4 linked regions of the Arabidopsis thaliana genome follow. The protein of the gene in region 4 binds, or shares a complex with, the protein of the main gene of each other region. Each region holds a gene or a part of one and is shown on either strand. Other genes may lie near its edges. The genes, in order: AT3G09180, AT5G19480, AT5G02850 and AT1G15770.

Region 1 (4,651 bases), on a different chromosome or scaffold from region 4:
TCATGGAGCTTTGAAATATGGCATCTTGATCCGATATGGGTGCAACCAGCGCCATTAGGACCAAATGAAGGTTTGAAGCCGGACGTTTCCACGGAAATGGAAGAGGGCCGAGAAAATAGTGAGTGTATATGGAGAATGCTTGGTGCTCTGGTCTTGGCTGCAGTATGTGGAGCCGTAGGGGCAATGTCAGCTATGTATCTTTGGACTATTTGCAGTGTTAGGCGGTCAATGGCCGTGGTTCCAGAGGAATGTGCAGTGAGCATTGTGGTCGTTGCAGTTAAAGATGGCAAGAAGTAATGAGAAGTTTGTTTGGCTTTGGCTTTGGTTTAAGAAGGTTGTCTTGTTGTAGTGTAAATGTAGTACCTTCTTCCACTTCCTCTGGTGTTATCTTTATTTAGTGTTTTCTTTTATTTGCTTCGTTAGTTGCAGGTTTCACATGTACAATCTCTATGAAAGAAGCCGTAAGCTTATTTGATCTTGCAAAATAACTTAATTTATTGATCTTGCATTTAACATGTTTTATATTTCTGGATCGGAAGCAAAAATCAACACCCACTGTCTTTTTCTCACTTTGATGCTGACTGCAACAGAGTAATGTGAACCGAGTTAAAAAAAAAGGTCTCTGTTCAGTCATCTCGTGAACAAAGATCAAATCTCTAGAAAGAAGACAACATTCACATGTTACCAGAGAGTAGAAAGAAAGAAAGTTAATCTAAACCTCAACATGGGACATCAACAACAAACAAGAGGTATATCAAGGAGAAGAGCAGATACTAAAGATCCATACAAAATGTTATTAGAACTTATTTCTAACCTTTCTTTTAATTGATCCTCCCTAATCACTAGAGTACTAGGTATCATCTTGAGAGCAACTGGAGTGGTAAGCTTCACAAACGTCCAGGTTTAATGCAAGAGGCAATTCTTGGTAAGCGCGGTGTAAAGGAGGTAAGATTAACGCAGACTTTTTATCCATTGCTAATAGCCTTCCACATTTACTGCATCATCAGAAGAGAAATGAAAAGTTAGTCCACGGGAAACAAATGTATTAGAAGAATTACGGAGAGTCTGCATACGTGCAAGGTTTGCTAAATACGGATTCAAAACTGCATATCCATAGCTGCATAAGAAGAAGAGAAAGGTGTTAATTAACTTCCAGACAAAAAAGGTTCATGTTATCCAGAGACTGAAGTGTGCTTGTAAAATGCTTTACCAGAAGAGAGTAGAGAGCTGTTCCAGTACCAAAGCCGAGGAAATATTGCAAGGCTGTAGCAGCATGTTCCTGCAAGAAAAATCTAATTAATGCAAGTCCCCAATGAATCAAATTTGTTAAACTATATATAATATCAATCGCATCTTTATTACCGTTATGTGTTTGTAAACATGATAAACCGAGAAGCCTCTCGCATGTAAGTAGCTGCCTCCCTGTAAGAAAGGGATGAAGCTAAAACATGAGAACTTAAACAATTTCACATGAGAATCAGTATATTTTAATGCAAGGAGGTTGGAAGTGACCTCATCTGGGGAGAAGAAAGCAACTGCATCTGGATCAACAGAACCCGCTGGACTCAACGAGACTATAGCTCTGAATAGAGAAGGAAATGATAACTCAATAACAGCAATCTTGTCGACAACTTCAGTCTGTAACCCTGATCTCAGCTTGCTAGAACTCTGGAAAATAGGTTTCGATGCTTCTGTAGGATCATCACTACCTGACCCAGGTAAAGAGTTAGCTCTTTTAAGCCAGTTCAATCGTCCATAAGTAGACACCTTCACACTCGGAACCAGCTTCTCTAAACGCGATTGTATATCTGGCAATGTTTTGTAATCAACCGGCTCCTCTCTTCCATTTTCTAATAGCAAATGGGAGGCACGATGTTTTTTTGAGCTTGGTTCCATCTTTAATCCATCATCAATATGAGGGAAGAATCGTCTTTTCTGATCCGTGAAGGCCTTGAGAGCTAACCTACAGTCATTATACACAACGCGAGAAAATGGAGAATGCATGAGATTCAGTAGAATTGGTTAGCTGATGAAACTCCAAGTTGGTACCACCAAGCTTCACTAACAGCCCTAATATGCAGACTCGAACCTAAACCCTAAGTATGCTTTAAAATGATTAGCAACGAATCTGATACCTGGTTCTATCAACAGCAGAAGCACCAGCTTGGCCAGCAAGCTGTCTTTTCCAAGCATAAGCAACGACTGCACCATCTGGACAAACCAAAGGCATGTGAAGACCCCAAGAGTTACTTCTTGACCTAAGTGATTCAGTTAACACTCCAGATTCTTCCAATTTCTTCCCTGAACCAAGCAATAAACATTGATCGATCCTTAAAAGCCCTAATCTAGAGAATCAATCAATACTAATGAAAATGATTCAGTTTTGGTTCAGCACCTATTAAGCGAAGATCCTGAAGATGTTGACGCATGGAGGCGTCTTCTCTGAGAAAGAGCTGAAGAGGCATGTCTGTGTGACGAGGTTGCGAAGCCACGAACATAGCTTCAAGGATACGGTCAGCGCCGAGGCGGATATCGGCGATAACCCTAGCCGCTTGATTGAGTCGTTCCATGGCCTGAGCCACCTGTTTCGGCGGCGCGTCCGATTCAGACTGATTGTTCGCCGCCTCGGCCGGATTCTGGAGAAGTTGGGACTGGTGTAGCGTCTGCATAAGCTGTGATTCAAGCACACTCTTTCGATTTCAATGAAATTGATCTTCTTGACGACGACGGAAGGAGAGGAATGTTTCTGGACTCGGAGAATTTCACGTTCAAATCTCAATCTACTGTAACGCCAGACGCAATTTTGTAGCGTTTGCGTTTCAAAGGCGTTTTTGTTGATATGCTTGCTTCTGCTCCTTCACGTCTTATTTTGTTTAATTTATTCCACTCTGTTAAATTGAGTTTTACTCCATTAAGCAATGCTTTATGGCTCATGTTGGACTGAAAATGTATTTTGTAATCTCAATGTTTGTGGGACTTTTAGTTTTTAGCCCATATGTACAGTTTGTTCACTTTAATATTTTTTTTTTTTTAGTTTGTACATGTAAAAAAATGGGAAATTTGCAAATATAGCCAACAAAAAAATTATAATTGCAAAACTAACACTTCAACCAATATGTATTGAACTTTATGCAATATTGACAAACTTAACCCGTGCGTGAGCACACGCGCTTATTCTTCTTCTTCTGAGTTTTCAATCGATAACTTCTATGTATTACTCTGTAAAAATTCAAATAGAGGTGAACATTCAGAGAAGTTACAGTAAGAAAATCTGAAAATTCTGGGCTTTAAAAAGCGACACCCGGGAAAGTTTCGAAGAGCAGACTGCGTGTGCAATCCGAGTGACGATTCTAGAGTTTACGAAGATTGAATTTGTGGGTTTCGATTTGGGGACTGTGGAGGCTTCGATTTCTGGCAATCGGACTGCATAAATCTTCTGCAATTGGAGGAGGAGCCTATCTAAGCATCCGAGTTTCGTACAACACTTATGTTGGCTCTTTTCTCAATCGAGGGTTTTTGATTCCGTTGAGAGTACTTGAGTGAGTTTTGTTGTACGGGAGTAGAGGTGTTTATATCTCCGTCGTCTCCACTGTAACACTCGAATTTCTGTGGCAATTGGTGTCGGCGAAGGGATTCAGCCAAATTAAGGTATGAAATGCCATTTTTTGGCTTTTGGGAAAATCTTTTTAATTTGTGTTGAAGAGCTTGAATAGCATAAACTCGGATTTGAGTAGCTTTAGGTAGGGAATCTGCTTGGTTAATACGATATTCATTTGTAATTGTTATGAAGGTTTAGGATTTAACTCTACTTCAATGTAATCCATTTGTGTTTGTTGATAGTAACGGAAGCTACTCAAATTGGTTGTATGTGTTAATGACATTTTTAGTTTTATTTGCAGTATTGAATAGCATAAACTCGGATTTGAGTAGCTTTAGTTAGTGAATCTTTGCTGGTTAATCCGATATTCCACTAATTGGTGTTATGAAGGTTTAATATTTAACTCAACTTCTATGTAATCCATTTGTTGTTGTTGATAGTAACGGAAAGCTGAGGCTATATTGGTTGAGTCTGTTAATAACATATATTTACATCTAAGATTTATATATTTTGTATTTGTGTAAGTAGCAGCATCAAAAAAGTGATACGTGGACATTTGTATTTCAGTGTATCTGTTCCATGGGGGATGTAGAGTTGCCAAAGCGTTTGTTTCGGCTAGGTTCTGAACCTGAGGGCCGAAAGAGGATAAACAATTACTTTACTCTTAGGTGGATTGAGATCATCAAGGCTGCTCTAGATCAAAACCATTTGAAGCAGCTGGAGGGTTCGCAGTTTGGATTTCTGTTGCAAATGGGGACGCATCAGTTTTCTGTAATGTTCTTACATTACATTCTATCTAGGCAGTTGGTGACAGATAAGAAGTATGAAATGTGGTGGGTGTTTGCAGGGAAGCCAATTCGATTTGCCATTGATGATTTTGCACTTGTTACCGGGCTTAACTGCAGCAAATCTGGATTCAACAAAAAGGATGCAAGGACAAGAGGGAAAATGAAAGCGGTTCAGAATCCTACGAGGTTCTACAAGGCATTATTTGGGAAAGAGAGAAAGCCTACTTCACAATGGATTGTTGGGAAGCTATCTATGGGGAAGAAA
Region 2 (4,551 bases), on a different chromosome or scaffold from region 4:
AGATTGTTAATTCAGTTGTGATGGACCATGCCACAATTGGAGACGGATGTTCAATACAAGGCTCAGTCATTTGCAGCAACGCACAGCTTCAAGAGCGTGTTACTCTAAGAGACTGCCAAGTACGTTACCCCCTTCAGTTTTCATAATACAGTGTCCCCTACGTATCAATGCTTTTACAGATTCCATAATCAAAACATCAATTGGTTTTATAGGTGGAAGCAGGGTATGTTGTTTGTGCCGGGAGTGAGCACAAAGGAGAGACCTTTGCTAGAAAATGAAAAGGAAGGATAAGCAAATGAGGTCACATCTTGGAACGCTTTTTTAAAATGAAAAGCAGCATTACTTAGTCATTCGTTTGGTAGGAGAGAAGAGTGTGAAGGATTGGAAAGTTTCCCACTAAGGGTTTTGTTGATTAAGAGTTTGAGATTTTCCGTTAGTATCTTTTACTGATAGAGTTTGATCTTTTGCTATTCATTACATATACATGAAGTCTTGAAACACTTTGTCAGCCACTGACCCTTCTCTCTGTTCCGTTGGTTATATTACATATGTCTTTTTTTGTTCTTCTCATTATTTACTCTTTTGTTCGAGATAAAACACTTTCCTGAAAGATCTAAATTTTGTTTTTGGTATTTCCATAGAGACGAATACACCCAAAAAGTCACATGCCTTCAGATTCGATAAATTTCAGAGTAAATGATTTCGAATGTATGAAACCTTTCTGTTTAAATAGTCACGAGAATAGATAAACTTCATAGCTTGTTTAAAGTGTAACAAAATGTACAAGTTGTGATTCTTCTTGGCGAACTTTTCGTTGCTTAACCCCTCCTAACTTCTCCCACAATGCAATTTTTATTTAGAGATTAAACCTGCAAAACCAAATCCAAATCATTTTATGTTATGTTGAGACAAATCTACACCATATAGAAACATTTCTAATTATTTGAGACTCCAAAATAAAGTTAGTGCACTCTCGGTCGCTAGAGTTCCAGGTTATCTTCTTATAAGCCTTAGACAATAATTATTTCTTCATGTTTAAAACAACCATAGCTTTGTTGACTCAATCATATTCATCATGTACAGTACCGTTGGTTATGACAGACGCAGCCCCATATGAGAAACGTGCGTTATCTAAAGATGAGAAGATGACTCTAGTGACCGAGTTACCTAACAAAGTTAGCTGCTTCTAAGCCTCTCCATGACACCTTGGGTGTGCAATACAAAAATGAAAGTGTGCACGGCTTCAGCCTCCAACCTACATCGCTCCCATCTCATCAAGCTTTGAGCTCTTATGCTGCAAAAAAGTTAATTTTAGGGCCGACAAAAATAAAATTTGCAGAGCAACACCAATGTGCGAGTAACCAGAAACTTCTAAATTCAGCTTCACTAAAAAGAAGGAGATGCCTCCATTGCCATTAGTATATTACCTTACTCTTTTTGTGCCTCTGAACGTCATCAGCATCTTCAGTCCCATTGTTCTTCCTTTTCTGAAAGTAAAGTGATAGCGTATACCACGTCAATTCTATCGAATTTAAGAATCCAAAATATACATATATAGACGGCCTAGGTACCAACAAGAGCAGACAGTTTTATAACCTTATCATGGTGTCCACTTTTTTCCTTCTTTTTGTCTCGATCCTTGTCTTTATCCTTATCTTTGATCCTATCTTTATGCTTGTGCTTGTGCTTCTTATGTTCCCTATCTTTCTCCTTCTTGTCTTTATGTTTTCTATGTTTCCTATCCTTATCTTTTGACTCACTTTTTGATTTTGATACAGTGGTAGGAGCTCCCTTCTCTGCCTGAAATAAGAACAGGAGATCTCATATTCTCAAACCTAGCTCAACTATCATCACAAGATACTTGGAAGTAATTCAACTTATCATGGTTAGTAAAAGATCTAGATGTTACAGGAAGTTAAAATCTAAACAGAGAGAGCAATATTCTTACTGGAGGCAATTCAACAGGAGCTGTATCATTAAGCTCAAAAGCCTCCTTAAGTTCATCAAGAACAAAAGGTTGGATGCGAGCATTCGTATCTCGGCTACTAAGTGATGCATTAGGAATAAGCTGATCTAATTGCATTCCTTCTCCTTTTCTAATCTCTGTGTCTCCAACCAAATTATGAAGATAATGAGCATCTGACAGTGACTCTGGAAGTGATCTCTTGCAAAAGAATTCATGGTGTGGCAACAACTTGTATTGTGTTATAAGATCTAGTGCACCACCCAATTCTCTAGGACCTGCACTTAGAAACCCAGAAGCTCATTGACCCTCAAATCCCAAAATAATAAAACTTGACAAAAATCAAAGCTTGGAAACCAAATTTACCTCCAAACTTAACGCTCTCTGATTCCATATTTTTTTGTTGTTGTTGATTAAACTGCAATTATTGGAATTTGAAAACCAAACAAGCCAAAGCTCAATAAGCTCAAGATTTGACGAAAAGCGAAAACAAAGCTGAAGCAAAGATCAATCACCGCCATACATGACTTCACGAGGCAGATCTCATCGCAACCCAGAGATATAAACCCTAATCTGGAAAACGGATTGCTCTTGGTCGTGAATTTCCCGCGGGAATATCGAGGAACGTTCGAGAAGGAAGTAACTAGGGTTTGAGAATGGATTAGGAGTTTCCTCAAACAATGGCGTTATAAAATCGCGATTTCTTTTTCTTCTTCTTCTGTTTTTTTTTCGTCCAAAATTTTGTTATTTATACGGGTTACCGCGTGGGGTTCACGCGCTTCATAGTGCGTATGATCAACTTTACAGATTTCACAACGACTTTTTTTACATTTGTATTTTTATTTTAATAAAAATTTCAATTTTCTTATAATTTGCATTTTTAATCACATAGTTAAAAAAAAAAAAAAATGCTAATATAGCCGTCAAATAATTTTTGTTGCAATCGTCAATAGCCACCGATTAAGACGGTGGTCAACTTGTTAGTGGATATGGCCACGATTAGGTGGTGGCACTCAGTTGCAAGATAGCCACTGTTTTTCATATGGTCATATGTATGTGTATTTGTGGCCAAATAATTAAGACCAATTTGCTAAGGCCAAAAAGTGATTCGTTTAGTCATTGCTATTGTTCGGATCCTTTATATTGAAGTTGGAGAATGATTAACCAAAGCTAAAATCACCCAAATGGCCAAATCGTACCAGCAATCAATGCATGATTTCTTAACTCTTGTTTCTAAAACTATGATCATCCGACAATTCTCAATTTATCGAAGATTAGTTAAATGGATTCTGCATCTGACGGTTTGGTTAAGTCATGTTTTATTTTGTTCTCGTATGATGTAGGAAGAAGTCAAAATGTATCACAACACAACACAACCAGGGGTATCTTAATAGATGATGCACATAGAACAGAACGTTTTTTTTTTTTGTGTGTGATAAAGAAGATTACAGAAACGTTACACTACTGTCTTTACACACTTGAGACATATTTGCTATATCGCTGAAGAGAGAAAGATTCCGACTTTGTAGAAGAACAAAGCCCTAGTTTGGCCTTATACAACAATTAATGTAGGTCAAGATCCTCTTCTTCTTCTGCATGGTAATTAAATTAGTAATGTTAGAGAGACTTATGACGGTGACAACATGCTTCCTCTTAATACATTTCACATATTGCATAATGCTTCGTATAACAAGGTGATTTCGACTGTTATACAAACTAGAGATGGAGTTTTCATATTCGCTCTAGAAAAGCAGTGTACATTTCGTTCATGTTTGCCTCTTCAAAGTTTGGAGGCTCCAAGCAAAACAAATTTATGTAACTCCCAACATATAGTTAAAACATAATGCAAAGATTATAATATGATTCAGACTTTTAGTTGGTTTAATTATATTTTTATCTAACAATAGAAGTAATGAAATTTAGCTTAGGTGGGAATATAATGTTAAAATATGGTTGCTTATTGAAATGTTATGGAAAAAATGCAAAAAAAAAAACAAAGTTTTCCTAACAAATAAAAAGAAAGTAGAAAATGGGAAAATGGAAACGAACTATAAATTCATTGTTCGAACAAAACACATCATTTCAAAACCATGGAAACAAACTGCAAGCCAATACACTATAACATCAAATTTAAAGATACACTATCATTACATATTCATAAATGAGACCTGATACTATGATGCATGTATTAACTCATAATTAAGTTGAATAACATTCATGGTTCAATTATGTCTCTGAGTTAAGAAAGAAATGGAATGAAATATTCTTTTTAGGCGCATGCAAAAACACAAAACAAACAAAAGACGCAAAGAGAAAATCAATTCCTGAATTGTTATACCACCTTGTGATGATCCATGCGCGTTGACTAAGGGGAAAAGGATCATCACAAGGTGAATATGAACCAAAGAATCCATGGAAGAGTAAGTAGAGAGAGATAATTTAATTACCATGACAGGGTCATCGTCTTGAGTTTCATGGCGATGGTGAAGTTGTTGGTGGTTGCGACGAACACTTACCATGAGTTCTTGTTCGCTTCCCAAACTAGAATGTCTTACACCAGCTTTGTTCTGCTTCCTGTTTGCGCGAGC
Region 3 (3,870 bases), on a different chromosome or scaffold from region 4:
CGGTTACGGTTTCTAGATGTTTGAGAGCTGATGGGTTGTCTGGAATTAGGGTTCTGGTGAAGGAAAACATCGTGGAGGAGAGGCTCTACAGGCGGAGGAGGTGGTGACGAAAGAGACGTAGTAAGAAAAGGCGTCCGAGAGATATGGTGGTTTTGGTCGTGAGAATAAGGTTTAGAGGAAGGAGTGCAGGGAAGGAGAAGAGGAAGAGCTAGCTTGTCCGCCATTAGAGGTAGTAGTAGTAGTAGAAACTAGAAAAGAACCAGGAGGCAACCGAGAGTGAAAGAAGAAGAGAAATGAATGGATATTTTTGTCAGATTTTTTTTATTATATTTTTTTGTTCCAAGAACACAATTTTAGTTTTATTTCCCTACAATTATATTCGACCACGTGGCTAGTCCAGATTCAACAGGTTAGATCTAAATGGGCTACTACTTATTTTGTCAACCCATTATATTATTAGAAGCCCAAATGGAACAATAAACTGTACAATAAAGAAATGGGCAGAAAGAGCCTCTGATATGTATGTATGACCTAAGAGGGATTTTACTTTGTCGTATAGAGAGATCGATCCAAAATGTCAAGTTGCATAACTCCAATAGTTGAACATTCTGAATTTTACTAATAATTTGAAATTTGAAGCTAAAGAATGATTCTGGAAAAAAGATAACCAATAATTCTGTAAACTGAATTAGAATCCAGGGTTTTCGTAAGAAACAACTTTGATACATCAAAGATACTGATAACGATGAAGCATATACTAACATCTATCCACATAAAGGCACTGCTAAACAAAACGAAACCAAGTAGAAAATCAAACTTGATCAAGAATTAGCAGTAACATTGGTCAAATCATTACCTTACAGAGAACCATCAATCACAATGTTGATTAATCCTCATCATCTGAGCTTGCATCATCGCTGCTGTAATCACTGCTATCATCATCCTCCAAAATGTCAAGTTGAACAGCTCGGACCTGTATGACATCAGGCGGTCTGTGGAGTCCCTGAGAAGGTCTCATATGTTGATGATCCTCTGCTCTAGGTGCAGCAATTGACTCCAGTGGCGGTAACACAACTGGGTCGCCTGGTTTCCATCCAGGAGGTGGCAATGGTAAATCTCTAGGCAATTCGACTGGCATTCCTGGTTTCCATCCTGAAGGAACTGCGATATTCGGCGGAAGCAGGTTGTGAATAGCAGATATATCCATAGCTTCTGGTGGTGGTGGTGGCTCAATCAGTGCTTCAACCTTCTTCTCCATGTTTTCTACTGTTTTCGGCAGACCGATATCAAGATCAGCGAAAGTGTAGAGCTGGGAAGCTCTCATTTGTTCGTCTTGTGGAGCTGGTGGTAATGCACCACGGAGAGGTGCTTGCCCTGCACCGAATTCCGGCGGAGCAAATGTGGTGTAGCTAATCTTGTGAGCGTAAGCTAATATGTCCTTTAACTTGAGCTGAGACGAAACTGTGGTTGAAGAAGAAGAAGACTCATTATCATTGTCTTCGTCATCTTCTTCAATTTTGCTTCGTTTTGGTTTGCGGTAATCGGAGTAGTCGTCAACAAGCATATCGAGAACACGTTCTGCATCCTTGAGTTTGTTAGCGAAAGCGAGAAGAGATGAATCTTTGGATTTGATCTCACGCGCCACCTTCTGCTTCGCGTCTTGCAGATCGAGGATCTCTTGAAGCTCTGTAACGGCTTCGAAGAGCTGAGTCTGGAGGGAATTGAATTGAGAGAGGATCTCCTTCGTGGATGAAGGACTAGGGTTTTCAAGCGGCGGCGGAGGTGGTAACGAGTGTGAGGAGAGGAACGAAGGGAGAGAGCCACGGAAAGCTGAGAGCCAGATAGCTCGATTGGGAGAGACGTCGAAGAGCTTAGATGTCAAAACCGCCATCTGCTGGAGAAGAGCTTGAGCTCGCGGTAATGGAGGAAGGAGCGATAGCAAGGCGGAGGATGAAACAGCCGCCGAAGCTGAGGCTGAGGAAGCGGCGGCGACGGTGGAGGAAGGAAGTAGATTAGGCTGTTGTTGGATCTGTTGGTGCTGAGATTGGGAAGATGAAGAAGAGGTTGGATGGCCATGACGAGTAGGCGTCGGATTTTGTACGGAAGGAGAGCCAGGACCTGTTAACCCTAATCTCGCCGGAGATTGTACGATCTGATGCTGTAGCATCTTCGCCGACGGCGAAAGAATCTCTTAAATCGAAGATAATTAAAGAGACGAAGCTTCTCTTCTCTGTTTAGTGTTCAACTGTTTATACAAAATTCGCAAACCCTCAGTATCAATTAGAAAAGTCTAAAGACCCGCTAAAACCATACCGATACGGTTCAATTTCCTAATTACCATTAACCTGGCTTTCGAACAATTGTTATTGACAATAACAGAGACGAATCATGGACGTTAACGCTTGATACAAGTGCAATACAACAGAGTTATGTATCTCACTTCCGAGTTAAGTAACAATTTGCTACTGTGTTACATAGCTTTTGGTTAAACAGATAACCAGAAAATAACCAATCAGAGAACGAGGTAAAGAAACTTACATATTACAAAAGGCATGAAAAAATAATTATCAAAAAGAAGATACAATTGGTAACCATTTTCTACACACACATACATATATCTACCATTCACACGACTGGTTCTGACCGAAACTGCATATGTTCCTCTTGTTTGTGACGACGACTCAGTTATGTTCTCCTCAGACAACAACCGTAGAATGCATCTGACACAATCCACCATATACAGAGATCAATAGCAATTTGGTAGACCGTAAGAGCAATATTCTTAAGACCTTAAGGGTAGTGTAATCAGAATAATAGCAGCAACGCTGAGAATATAACAGTTATGATCTACAGATCATTCTTATTATGACGTTCGATCATGTGAGACAATAACTACAGTAACAAATGAGAAACATTAAGGTGAAAACCTTAGTGAACTGTGGTGTTAGGTTTCGATATAATCTATTAAGTCAATGCGAACGTTCTTATTATAGTGTTTTATATTGGTGTCGGAGGGATGCGGTATAACACCAAACTTACTTGATAGCTGGTAGAGAGTTGTTGCGAGCAAGAAGTCGTCAAGAAGATATATAACTTGTTGAGTGCACAAACAGCTAAGAGCTTAAGTGTTCATGACCTTCCTCTGCAGCATCAACATATTCAGACTAAATTATGGTTAGATTATATCTCATAGAGCACAACAATCCTCATTTAATCATTGGAACGGTTAAAAACATAACACACTAAAGGCGAACTAGTCTTAATTTCTATAGTTAAACTTCAAGGCAGATAGTAAGTAGGTTTGTTAGCTGTTAGAGACTTTTTCTCACTCATTCTTATCACGAAAAGACAAATGTGCCTCACATACTCAACGAGCACAGAAGTAATGATAAAATTATAACTTACAGTAGGTTCAAAGTCAGGGTTTGACAAGTTCACTGTGAGGTTTCTCATCAACAGCAAAACCTGCAAGAAAAACTGTGATTAGTGACGGATACTAGGAAAAAGAACAATCACTGACAGCTACAAATAGGTACCATGACACCTAAAACTGACTCATGGTTGTAACAATCCCATTATTTGACCAACATCTCCATAGAATCATGGTACTTTGGCTTTTTGGTGTTTCCAACTCGTGAATCTATATATTGCAAGTACTGATCTTTATATTTATCTTCTCACACAGCTGAATTTATTCGGGAACTCAAAGAAGAAGACTAAATGATTGATATGCTGCAACACACATATCAGTTAATCTAAAGGCAAGTAAAGCTCCAACTCACAGTTTCGAAATTTATAGGATCCATTTCCTTGAGCTTTTTCATGCGGCCTTTGCTGTCAGGATCGAACACACTCCCAATGAAGTTATAA
Region 4 (3,769 bases):
CGATAGCTTCTCAAGTCCCATGGTTTTCGATTACAGTTTCAAGGATGAGAAACTTTACGCTCAAGATACTTATTTTGAAGATATCAAATGGGATTCAATGTTTCAGAATCTCAAACCTACTTAGAAAAATCTCTAAGTTCTGTTTTATGTTTTCTCTTTCAGCTTCTTCTTCGTTCTTTATATCAGAATTGATGGTGAGAGATGAGGTTTTAGGGTTCTTCCACCATGTTTTCTTGATTTTGTCTTTGTATGTGATTAGGCTAGTTAATTTTTGTTAGTTAACAATTGGAAAATAGAGTTGAGTGGTGGTGTCAGGTGTGTATGTGAGTGTGTGGGGTCATTGTAATGAGTCTGTCTCTCCAGTCTTTGCTTTTGGCCTAAGTCTCTGTTCCAGTCAAAACTTCTTTACAGCTTTTATCACTTTTTACTCTTTTCTCAAAAAATGCTCTGTTTACACACATAACCATGACGCTAAGCCTGCCGGAGTGATCTTACTCTTGAGGTAATCGGAAAGATCTTGAGCTCAGGACACTACACAGTCTACACTAGAGCACACAAAACATTGTGCTTCCAAATTTTATCTGTTGTGTGTGTGTCAATTTTCAGATATACCTAAGGGAAGTGTAACTGAAAACCATACCTCAGTTCTTGGCTTCTTGCCACCACAAGTCACAGTAGATTCCATATCTGATGTTACCAAACCAGCAAAATGCTTGTAGCTATTACCAACGCTTTCCTCCCAATGAAGCAACACTTGATGGCATTGGGGTTGTCTGACGCTTCCTTTTCATGGTCGCCATCTTGCGTCATGAAGTTTCTTTCTTGGAGATGGCACTTAGTCATTGCAACCAAGTCCACACCAAATGAAGCTCTTGAACCTTTGCCTGGTACTGAACCAGCAATCCTATCAACCATGCTTACAACAGATCTAATATCACATACTGCAGACGAAAGCGCTTGTGGTGAGATGGATTTCATCTGAAAACAACAGAAAGCAAACATCAAGATCAGAACAATGTTTCCACGGCAAATGAGGGATGGCAGCAATGACACTGCCCTGTTGCAATATACCCTTCAAAATTAGTAACGTTACTTACGGCTCTAATAAGGCGTTCAATAGGCAGCTCAGTAGCACTCGATTTTCCACAAGTACTTGTCAAAGGATTTATAATATTTCCATCAGGACTGGTAAGCTCCGGAAGGAGAGGAGAGGCAGAGATCCCTGGAGTGCCAATTTCAAGGGATTGAAGTACACCTTGCCTGATCTGTTGTACCCTTGACCCAGCACCCTGCATGCTCATTGATTGCATCTGCAGAGTTGTTTGGTCATCATGAGACTGATCTTGAACTGTCTGAGATAGTGGTTGCTGCATAGGCTGAATCTCAGATTTCGTAAGCTGCAGTTTCTGTACTGTCTTCCTCAGACTCTGCATATTTAAGAAATTCATAATGTTGTTCTTGCGATAATCCATACTATCCTTCAAGTCAGGTTTGATATTGCTCTTTGAAAGAGATAGGAAACGTAGCATTCCCTCCAACACTGTCTTGCCTCGTTTCAATTTCTCAAACTGATCTGATCTTTGTTTCTGATGCGAAAGAGAATCCTCCTAGAGAGAAAACGGAACGTATTCAGTAGAAAAGAAACAAACATATAGATGAACGTTAAAAGTTTACAACCTCTGTAGGTTTGGGAAGGAATATATCTGTCAGAAGGTTAACTTCTAGTGAACTATCTGTAAGTATAAGAGTCTGACGAACCTTTTACTTTGTTAAATGGGTAACAAGAATCCTAAGTTGTAGGACTTTCATTTGTAACAATGAACTGATCTTGCATTGAATTTGTAAAACTCTTCATAAAGTACTTAGTACTGTTCCAGAGGACGTACACGTGCAAACTAACTTCCTAGGAAGAATGAAAACTGTAACTTACTTGCTGCAACTTGGCTGCTACTCTCTGGTAGATTTCATTGAGGTCTCTTTGATGGATTTGATCTACAAAGAAAAGCAATATAATCATACATACGATTACTCATCATGGTGATATCATCTAGTAACAGAGAGATGATCCTGCTAGTAACAAAGGAATAATCTGGTTGTCGTAGTAATCTTTCAAGTAAGGCATGACATTGCTTCTTTGAAACAGATAGGAATTGTATCATTCTTCGCTCCAACATTGCCTTCAATCTCTCAAATTGCTTTAATCTCTGTTGATGGGTAAAAGAATTCTGCATGAATTCAATAAGAAACCAAACCCTACCCTACTAGTTGACGGAACACTAAAGCACCCACCAAAAACACACCTAATCTCCGAGAAATTAACATTTACAAAAAAAAAAAGGGTCTTTATTCATTTTTCGATCATAACTTGATAGGAGGAGCCTGGTAGAAACAGAGCACCGGAGTCAACAACATTGAGGATGAGAGTTCAAAACACATCAGAAGAGAGAAGACCAACATAAAAAGAGAGAGAGACAAAATATCTACAATGCATTTCCTTGATTATTATGAGACTGATCTTGAAGCTGCCTTTGCTGTACTGTCTTCCCAGCCGGTTCTTAGCGTAATTAAGAAATATATAATCCGTTTCTCATAATAGTCCCATCTACAATCCTTTAATATCGGCATGATATTTCTCTTTCGAAGAGATAGGACTTGGATCAATTGCTCTATGTTTGTCTTCATGCTTTGGAACTTGTCAAAGTGCTTTGATCTTTGTTGCTGCGGAAGCGATTCCTCCTGAAAAAAACAAACAAACTAGTATTACTACATCTATACAACTTAAGGCAGAGAGTTAATAGTTGACAGTAACTACATCTTACATGGTTCAACTTGTCTGCAAGTCTCTGGTAAACATCAGTCACATGTGGTAGATAACGCTCTCTCATGGATCTAAGCTGTATAAACAATTACACACCACAATGAATGATCCCGATGATGATTTAAGAAAGGAGTTTTATTATTATGATGATTATGACTTATGAGTTACCTTTTGGAAAACCTCCTCCCGCCAATCATCTCCATTTTCATTTTCCATTGTATCTACTATCTAGTGTTGCTAGCCAAGAAAAATAATTAAAAAGCGAGATTCATTCATCATCAGAAACTGTGTAAAAAAAAATACAAAAACCTAAAATTAGAGGTACACAAGTATCATCAATCCATAAAACTAGTTTCTTATGCAAAAGGTTTTGCTATCGACGAATCCATGGGTTTACTATGACACGTAATGAGATAGGTGACTCAAAATAAGGACCTTTTGGCGATGAATCTCCGAGACTTAGAACGGTCCGTTTGGATTTGGTTTTTCTCCAAACGTTCTTACGTTTCAATCTTTCTTTTAATAAGTGAAACGTAGCAATTAGGGTTAAGGAGAAGAATTAGAGATGATTGTTTTTGTTTTAATCATCTTTTGATTTTATAGAGAAACAAACAAGAGAGAGCTAAATACAAGGATTAAAAGGCTTCAACAACATTACAATATCAGGTTATTAAGCGAGGCCCAATGACCCAATAATAAGTACTTATCAGGCCCAAGTCTCTTCTGCAAATAATAAGTTTTTTGGAGTTTTTTTAAGTTTTCTATTTCACACAGTAAAGGCTAAAAATCGAGTAAAGAGACTTGTAGAAAAACCAGTGAAATCTCCGGCTATTTGTGTGACCAAAATGTTAATTATAGTCATTAACTAAATAAATCTCGTTCATGTACTAATTTGTATAGACAATTACACACCACACTGATCACTCCTTGTATCTTCTAACTTGATGACTT

Evidence for each region.
Region 1: AT1G15770 (region 4) and AT3G09180 share a complex: the UniProt entries of both Arabidopsis thaliana proteins name them as parts of the mediator complex.
Region 2: AT1G15770 (region 4) and AT5G19480 share a complex: the UniProt entries of both Arabidopsis thaliana proteins name them as parts of the mediator complex.
Region 3: AT1G15770 (region 4) and AT5G02850 share a complex: the UniProt entries of both Arabidopsis thaliana proteins name them as parts of the mediator complex.

Annotation. Positions count from the first base shown.
Region 1 is NC_003074.8:2,817,296-2,821,946, reverse strand, and holds AT3G09180 (mediator of RNA polymerase II transcription subunit), read right to left. Parts: upstream 2,854-4,651; 5' UTR 2,670-2,853; coding exon 2,396-2,669; intron 2,302-2,395; coding exon 2,136-2,301; intron 1,964-2,135; coding exon 1,513-1,963; intron 1,423-1,512; coding exon 1,363-1,422; intron 1,280-1,362; coding exon 1,211-1,279; intron 1,118-1,210; coding exon 1,074-1,117; coding exon of another isoform or gene 1,055-1,073; exon of another isoform or gene 996-1,054; coding exon 851-995; 3' UTR 522-850; downstream 1-521. Other genes in the region: AT3G09190 (Concanavalin A-like lectin family protein), read left to right, coding at 1-297. UniProt on the Arabidopsis thaliana protein: Component of the Mediator complex, a coactivator involved in the regulated transcription of nearly all RNA polymerase II-dependent genes.
Region 2 is NC_003076.8:6,569,634-6,574,184, reverse strand, and holds AT5G19480 (mediator of RNA polymerase II transcription subunit), read right to left. Parts: upstream 2,685-4,551; 5' UTR 2,358-2,684; coding exon 2,330-2,357; intron 2,242-2,329; coding exon 1,949-2,241; intron 1,801-1,948; coding exon 1,597-1,800; intron 1,488-1,596; coding exon 1,428-1,487; intron 1,295-1,427; coding exon 1,256-1,294; 3' UTR 562-1,255; downstream 1-561. Other genes in the region: AT5G19485 (transferases/nucleotidyltransferase), read left to right, coding at 3-119, 213-278; AT5G19473 (RPM1-interacting protein 4 (RIN4) family protein), read right to left, coding at 3,505-3,555, 4,411-4,551. UniProt on the Arabidopsis thaliana protein: Component of the Mediator complex, a coactivator involved in the regulated transcription of nearly all RNA polymerase II-dependent genes.
Region 3 is NC_003076.8:650,456-654,325, reverse strand, and holds AT5G02850 (hydroxyproline-rich glycoprotein family protein), read right to left. Parts: upstream 2,279-3,870; 5' UTR 2,168-2,278; coding exon 887-2,167; 3' UTR 563-886; downstream 1-562. Other genes in the region: AT5G02860 (Pentatricopeptide repeat (PPR) superfamily protein), read right to left, coding at 1-224; LCL1 (LHY/CCA1-like 1), read right to left, coding at 3,114-3,164, 3,406-3,465, 3,783-3,870. UniProt on the Arabidopsis thaliana protein: Component of the Mediator complex, a coactivator involved in the regulated transcription of nearly all RNA polymerase II-dependent genes.
Region 4 is NC_003070.9:5,426,199-5,429,967, forward strand, and holds AT1G15770 (mediator of RNA polymerase II transcription subunit), read right to left. Parts: upstream 2,083-3,769; 5' UTR 2,018-2,082; coding exon 1,931-2,017; intron 1,608-1,930; coding exon 1,098-1,607; intron 979-1,097; coding exon 694-978; 3' UTR 510-693; downstream 1-509. Other genes in the region: AT1G15760 (Sterile alpha motif (SAM) domain-containing protein), read left to right, coding at 1-124; AT1G15772 (mediator of RNA polymerase II transcription subunit), read right to left, coding at 2,503-2,736, 2,820-2,894, 2,987-3,034. UniProt on the Arabidopsis thaliana protein: Component of the Mediator complex, a coactivator involved in the regulated transcription of nearly all RNA polymerase II-dependent genes.